Cricetulus griseus: one gene and its partner. The protein of the gene in region 1 purifies or fractionates together with the protein of each later gene. This does not show direct contact. Links are inferred from orthologs where the notes say so. Each region holds a gene or a part of one and is shown in the gene's direction. Other genes may lie near its edges.

What was found. The genes of interacting proteins can lie anywhere in the genome.
Region 2: the proteins of L3mbtl3 (region 1) and Samd13 purify together in Homo sapiens (affinity purification with mass spectrometry; 3 studies listed by BioGRID and IntAct, counting the BioPlex papers as one, with this or other methods). This does not show direct contact. The link is inferred for Cricetulus griseus from reciprocal best matches to the Homo sapiens genes L3MBTL3 and SAMD13.

The regions. Positions count from the first base shown.
Region 1 is NC_048595.1:245,307,606-245,311,221, reverse strand, and holds the end of L3mbtl3 (lethal(3)malignant brain tumor-like protein 3), read left to right. Parts: intron 1-1,262; coding exon 1,263-1,406; 3' UTR 1,407-3,063; downstream 3,064-3,616. UniProt on the Homo sapiens protein: Is a negative regulator of Notch target genes expression, required for RBPJ-mediated transcriptional repression. It recruits KDM1A to Notch-responsive elements and promotes KDM1A-mediated H3K4me demethylation.
Region 2 is NW_023276806.1:12,519,306-12,523,578, forward strand, and holds the end of Samd13 (sterile alpha motif domain-containing protein 13), read left to right. Parts: intron 1-2,505; coding exon 2,506-2,649; 3' UTR 2,650-3,711; downstream 3,712-4,273. Other genes in the region: dnaJ homolog subfamily B member 6, read left to right, coding at 2,506-2,533.

The DNA.
Region 1 (3,616 bases):
CTTTGTGGACACTAATCCTCCTGGACCAGCAGCCCACCTGACCCATGTGATCAGTTGCTACTTAGTTGCAATGACACTATTACCAAATAAGTTCACATCTGAACAACTAGGGTTTAGGAATTCAACAGAATTAAAGGAGGGGCTGCAAAGATGGCTCAGTGGTTAGCAGCACTGCTCTTCCAGAGTACACAGGCTTGATTTCCAGCACGCACATGGAGGCTCACAACTGTCTATAACTCCAGTGCCAGGGGAATCAGATACCATCTCCAGTCCTTCACAGGTAGTGCACACATGTGGTGCACAGTCATACATGCAGGCAAAACACCAATACACATAAAATAAAAATGGAGAAAAAATTTTTTAAATAATTTGAAGCTGGGCGTTGTGGTGTACACGTTTAACCACAGCATTCCAGAGGCAGAGGCAGGTGGATCTCTGTGAGTTCAAGGCCAGCCTAGATACATAATGAGTTCCAAGACAACCAGGGCTATGAAGAGAAACCTTATCTCAAAACAGAACAAACAAAAAAGAATTTTCAGAAGATACAGTTTAAACCCCATCAAGCCATTCACTGTGGTCAAAGCTTCTAATTATTCTGAGACTTAAAACACAGTGTCTTTCTTTTTGTTGTTGTTGTTGTTGTTCAAAATGGGGAACTTGAAGAAGAAATTAATCTATCTTAAGACCGTCCAATTCCTTAAATGCTGAAGTGTGTGTGTGTGTGTGTGTGTGTGTGTGTGTGTGTGTGTGTATGTGTATTTGTCACCGCACTAAACCCAAATAATCATTTTCGTCATGTTGTGGCTGTGAGTTTCTAAGTGTCCTATTCTGTAATTCAGCTTTTCATCTTAAAATGAGCCAAGGAAGAGGAGAATGTACACAATTACACCAATAGCAGAAGACACAGCCTGTAGTCCATGATGTTTAACACTGGCCTTACGTCCTTCCACACATACTGTTTGTGTTTCTCTTCTGCTTATGGAGGCTAACTATGGCCATGGCTGACAAAAGTTCTCTCTCTATTTTCCTGCACGGTAGAAGGCTAAATCTGTTAGGTGTTTCAGACGATTGACTTTTACTTTGTTGGGTATGTGGAGACCCATAGATTGGGAATGTTGTGTTCATGATCTCTGGTGTATGTCTTCTTAGCATAGTTGTGAAGTCAGGTAATAGTACAGCATAAAGCTTTGGATAGCCCCACAACAATGCATCTGGTTAATCCATATTCTTTTGTGTCTGGTTTTTTCCTTCCTTTATTTCAGCAAATTGATGGAGAAGCGTTTTTACTTATGACCCAGACAGACATTGTGAAAATTATGAGCATTAAGCTGGGCCCAGCTCTCAAAATTTTCAATTCTATCCTGATGTTTAAAGCGGCGGAGAAGAATTCCCACAATGAACTGTGATGACAGTGAATTTGGGTACCATCAGCTTCCGCTTTAATGCTCATCATGTTTATTCAAAGCACAAGGACGGTTCTAGCTCCTGACTGAGAAGTCTCCAGGATCCCAAGAGCAGCGCTATGGGATTCCATCCGTCCCTCCGGACTGCATATACATTCTTAGGAAACGCCTGGGCTTCTCACCAGCTGCTGTCCAGCAACGGTCATCTTTCAGTTCTGCTCACTGAGCTAAACTTACCTTTGTAAATCTTTTGGAGGTGGGAGGAGGGTGGGGAAATGGGGGCTTCATTATTTATGGATGGGGGGCAAAATAAGAACTTCGGCATTTTGTAAACATTGTTGGATTCTCTTTCATGTACACTTTCTTTTTTTCAATACTTTCAGAAACCTTTTTATATAACTGAATTTCAACCTAAACCAAATCCGTTGAAACCTGGCTGAGTTGAGCCTGGGACTAGTGTCAGTCGTGTTCGCCCTGTGCCATATTTGGAATTGCAGCATTAGCCAAGTGTAACTTTGCGAGTCACGATATTGCCTAACTGTGTGTCATCATTTGTTGGGACTGAAGAACTGTAAATACTATCTTTCTTTGAATCCATGTTTTTACTTTTGCACGCATTATGAGTTGTTAAACAAATTACTTTTCACCAGCATCTTTACTGTTATTACCAAAAAAAATGTATATAAAAGAACAGAATTGAGAAATAAAATATATAAACCTACTTAGGTTTGAATGAAGTAGTGTATCTGGGCGGAATCAGTTGTGCACAACATGGTGCCCATGTGTTTACACCAGTGGGTATCTGAGGATTATTCGGTTACATTCCAGGGGATGTTCATCAGGAGCTTGATTTAGGAGATTATTGTGTGCATCTCTGTAAATGACATGGAAGTAACTGGTGCTTTATAGAAAAGGACTCTTTCTGTTGATGGAAACACTAATCGTTCAAGAGATCCCATCAGTCATAGGTCCTCCAGACCCAGGGGATTTCCTCAGAGTGAGCTGAGAAGCAGGGCATTGATGTTACTGCACAGACCTGGTGTGACATTGTTAACACCAGCAGACCCCAAAATTCTCCATGCTCACAAGTCGAGGAAGTGGTTCCCAAAGCCATTATTTGGGAACCTCCAATGTGGAAAGATTCCTTTTCCTATGAAATATTTTGCCTTGATTTTTAAGCATCTGGATGCACTTTAAATGAAAGCCCTGGGTTATTTATAAATTCATAGCTGGCTCTGTTTCTTTTGTAAGCATGCACTTCTAGGGGGAAGGTAAATTATTTTGTCAGTCTTTTGATGTACTTTCTAATTCCAGGATTAGACATTTGTCCAAGGACTGCTTTAAAAATAGGAAGTTTAGTAGCATGCTGTCGGAACTCTGGGGAGAGTCCCACCTCTTTCCATAAACTCTTTAATGTTTTTCTGATGTAGGACTTCCTTTGATGTGCCATAGTAGGAGTTTATTATCAGTCCTTTGCATTTGTCATGATTCAAGGTAAAACAGGGTCCCTGACATCTGCAGTGTCCAATTCATTTCTTTGCATGAATCTGCTAAATAAGCTTTTTATTGTTATTTTTCCCTTTTTCGTTGTGTTCAGTATTTGTACATTAACTTGCACTTGTTACATGTGATATGAATGAAATAAAATCTTAATTACAGATTCTTTTTATATATGTATGATTTTTAAGGAGGTTATTAAATAGGAGATATAGAGAAAACCAGGAATAATATCATATCTAAGAAAAGCTATATAAGGCCTGGGTATATATTTGAACACCTACCTGGCATTTATAAGACCCTGGGCTTGATCTGCTCCACTACAAAGCGATAACGAATAAATAGCATTAGAGATACCATAGGTCTGGGAGTTGCCTCGATGCTAAAGTGCCTGTTACAAAACATGAGGACCTGAGTTTGGATCCCCAGCACCTGTGTAGAAATCAGGCATATCTGTAACCCCAGTGCTGTGGAAACAAAGGCAAGTGGATCCCTGAAGCTAGGAAGCCTAGGTGAATTTATGAATCCCAAGTTTAGTTAGTTAGAGACCATGCCTCAAAAGAGCATAGGTAGTGAGGCTAGAGAAGTAGGCCAATGGTTCAGAGTACTTGGATCTCAGCCACCTTTAACTCCAGTTCCAGGGGATCCAACCCCTTCTTCTGGCCTCCACAGGCAGTAGGCACATACACGGTGTACAGACTGCAGGCAAACACCCA
Region 2 (4,273 bases), on another chromosome or scaffold:
ATCTCCGAACTGGTTGTGAGTTATTAAGAGTTGGCACCGTAAATGTAAACTTTTCTCTATCGCTTTCTTGTAATGGTATAGTGAAAAAGCAGTCTTTAAGGTCAATTACTATGATCGGCCATCCTTTAGGTATTAAGGAAGGCAATGGCATTCCAGGCTGCAGAGCGCCCATAGGCTGAATTACCTTATTTATGGCTCTCAGGTCTGTCAGCATTCTCCAGTTACCTGACTTCTTCTTGATGACAAATACAGGAGAATTCTAAGGGCTGGTAGATTGCTCTATGTGATCAGCCTCTAGCTGTTTCTGTACTAACTTTTCTAGAGCCTCAAGCTTTTCAGAGGTCAACGGCCATTGCCCTATCCAGACTGGTTCGTCTGTAAGCCATTTTAATGGCAGGGCCTTTGGTTCCTCTGAAGGCCTGTCATTTGTATTTAGTGTCTGTACAGCCCGGATAGTTGGTAACCATTTTCTATGGCATCTTACCCGATCTTTTCTACTATCCCACGATTGTCTAGAATTCGTATTTGACACTGGAGGGATGTTAATTTGAGTATTCCACTGTTGTAATAAATCACGACCCCATAAATTTATAGCAATATCTGCTACGTAAGGTTTCAATATTCCTTTTTGTCCTTCCGGTCCAATACAAACCATCGAGTTAACACTCCGTCGAACTCTAGATAGAGTTCCAATTCCTAAAAATTGTACATTGGCCTCTTTAAGTGGCCAATTCTTAGGCCAACATTTCTGAGTGATAATAGTCACATCAGCTCCAGTGTCCATTAAACCAGAAATAACTTTCTTGTTAATTTTAATTTTTAACTGAGGCCTTTTATCATTAATAGAAGCTTGCCAAAATATGCGTTTGTCATTTTCACCAGTCACATGTGTCTCACAAATCAACGTGAGACATTTTAGTGGCTGGACAATAAATGTTTCCCAAAGCCGAAAACATTCTGAGGCAGCTAGGAGTGATTCCTTGTTCTGCTGTTTCATGATAGGTGGCTGACAAGTAAAATGAGCTGTGGAGAGCAGGGCGACTGAGAATGACAAGGAAAGTGTGTCATGCGTAGCTCAAGGAGTACATACAGGAAGGCCTTGTGGAATCCTGTTGGAAACGCCGTGTTCCCACATCTCCCAGGAGAAGGAGGAGCAAGGGCCACAGAGTGGGAAATTCTGTAGCCCCTTTGACCTGGCACTGTTTCTCTACACTCTCAGAGTTCAACACATTTTCTCCACAGCCTGGCAAGGTCCATGAGAGTGGAGAGCAATGGCCTCCCTGGGGGATGGAGTAAAAATGGGGTCACAGTTTTATGTGGTCACCACAGTGTCTCATCGTCCCAGGCTGGTCCAGGTGTATTTAGGCAAAATGATGAACAAAACTCTTAAACACAACCGACCCAAGCCTTCTAAAGAGCTGGGTCTGCCTTAGGAGACATAGTTTCTTCTGTACACACTAACAAAAGCAGGGTCACAGATAGCATTCTCAGAGCTTCCTTTCCATAAATTCAAAGCACCTTCTCCATTCAGACAATTTTCATCTCTTTTGGGAGAAGCACATTTTAGCATCCTCTTTTGTAGTTTCCAAAACACCCGAAGGGTCCAAGGGATGAACGCTAAAGCTCCAGGGAGAGGAACTGGCAGCTTCCAGAGACCTAACCTCCACAGCTTTGTTCTTGCTCTGTTGAGAGGAAGCTTGGTAGGGAGCCTAGTTGTGAAAGACAGTGTTTTCCAAGTTGAGGGAGGACCAGAAGAGACTCTCCCAAGGGTGAGCCATGCTTACCACTGCCTACTATTACAATTAGCAGGATTTCCAGAAACCTTCTAGACTCAGGCCATCTAGATAACAAACATTTAACTGACATTAAGCAGAGGGGGCTGGGAGTAGGGTTTTGAGTAGAGTGCTGGCCCCTATGCTAATACCCTTAATGCCCTGGTTTTTCTCAAAGGGGGGATGGGAGACAGAAGAAAACTGGGCAAAGGCTGTGGACAGACAAGATTTCAACTCCATCCCCTTTCCTAATTCTTGCTGTGTCAAGCCAGTATACGTCTTGCTGGATCCTTGCTTTGCTTATAAATTAAGGATGATAATCTCTGCCTGTTGTAATTTATAGAGTGCTTTGGAAACTTAAGTATATGGGGAATTCTAGAACATTTTAATACATTTTATGGATGGAACATGTCCTTGTCCCTTTCAGAAGGAACTGCTCTGATCCCTGAGGTGGGTACACACTGTTTTAAACTTGCCCCTGAGTTTCTTAAGATTTGTGATAGGATCTTGAAAACAAGATCAGCTCTAGATTGCACTTAATCTCAAAACAGAAGATGTTTTGAAATAGAAGATGGAAGAAGATACACTAGGAGATTCCATCTTGACACTATTTCAGTGGGTTTTAGCTGGAGACGAGTGGTGTAACTTCTGCCTTCACTCTTCCCTTTATCTCCAGTACCAAGAGCTTCTTGCCTCACTCACACACTGACTTTCCCCTCTGCTTCCGTTCTAGGAAATTGATGGAAAATCCCTGCTCTTGATGACGAGAAATGACGTGTTGACAGGACTTCAGTTAAAATTGGGGCCTGCTCTGAAAATCTATGAGTACCATGTAAAACCTCTTCAGACCAAGCATTTAAAGAACAACTCTTCATAGTAAAATGAAATTGAGGTCTCAGTCCTCAAAACAAAAGACAGGGTGATGAAATTTAGTTTCTAGTTGTCAAACCTCACGAACAGAATATTTACATGTGTGTATGTAAAGAATTACGATCCAACAAAGCGTTATCCTATTGGATAGACTAGGCAATCCATTGGCTGGCCTGTCTCAGCCTGGAGGAGCAAAGCCAGAATGTGCACAGGATGGTTGTCCTTGTCAAACCGAGTCATCATTGACTCTGAGATACCCCTCCCCTCGGGGCTTTGGAATCACAAGAATTTTCTTTGCTTCATTGTAGATGGTTTTCTGTCAACTCCTTAAAAAGGGGGTGGATGTGAAATGAGGGATTTGGGTTATAGACTTAGAAATGAGTACAAACAAAACTCAGCGGGGCGGGTGAAGAGTGAGGGAGTGCTTGAATTGCTCTGCCTCTTAGCTGTGTGGATGGAATTGCCAACTCCTCTTTTTTTTGTAGAGGGTTCTCCACTTGACCTTCTTAAGGTTTCACAGGGTTGTGCTGTGCTGTGCTGTGCTGTGCTGTGCTGTGCTGTGCTGTGCTGTGTGTGAATCAAACTTGCACCAAGCTCCCTTCAGGAGCAGAACTCTCTCTGCAAAGAGAAACTTGCTTTGCACTGGACACACCTTGTGATCAACTCATTGTCACGGGGGTAAGAATATTTCCAGCTTATGTTGGTTCCTTGTTGCTGAAGAAAGCATTTAGAGGCTGTGGGGGGTTTTGTTTGTTTTTGATTTTTACTTTATGGTTTGTATTTATGGTAATTCTGAAGCTATTTGCCAAGAGTTAGTAGATCCCAAAGCTTTGTTAATAGCACAGAATATTTTTATATATATACATATATATTCCTCCATAATTCTGTAATATTTTCTTAAATGCCCTGTGCTGTGTTTGGTCCCTGGTTTGAGTACTTGTCTTTCAGAACTTGAAAAAGTGGGCTTGCTACATCTCTGTTCAAAGAGACACTTGCTGAGTGATATTTGTCCATGCCTTGTTGAGTTAGTGCTTTGTGTTTGCAATAAAACACTGCTTCAGATCACCAAGAATGTCTTCAGTTTCTTCTCATTTGATCCCTTCCTTGATGATTAAAGATTGACAACATTTCCTTGAATACCCAGGGAGAAATTTAAGCTTTAAGAAGAAAACTTCAGAGTGAATGAGATGGCTTAGTGGGCAAAGGTTCTTGCCACCAAACCTGAGGACTTGAGTTCAAGCTCTGAGTATACACATGTGCACACAAGTACACACACACACACACACACACACACACACACACACACACACACACACACAAATAATACATTTAAATTTTAAATAAAATAAAACTAAACTATGTAGACCTATATATAAATTGAATCTTATATAAGGCTAAATCACCCCCAACAGATCTCATTCCTTCTTATAGTCCACCCAGTAATCAATTTTAGTTTAACCAAGAATTTTTTTACCTGCCTATCGAAGTCATGATTTGACACAAAGCTTAGCAGAGAGTCTGTGGGCCTCTGACTTTGCCTCTTCTCCCTCTTGTAAACATTACCCTATTGCTCTACAGGGAACATTTCTCTGAAGACCATAAAATCTAATTCTATTTATTTTAAATATTAT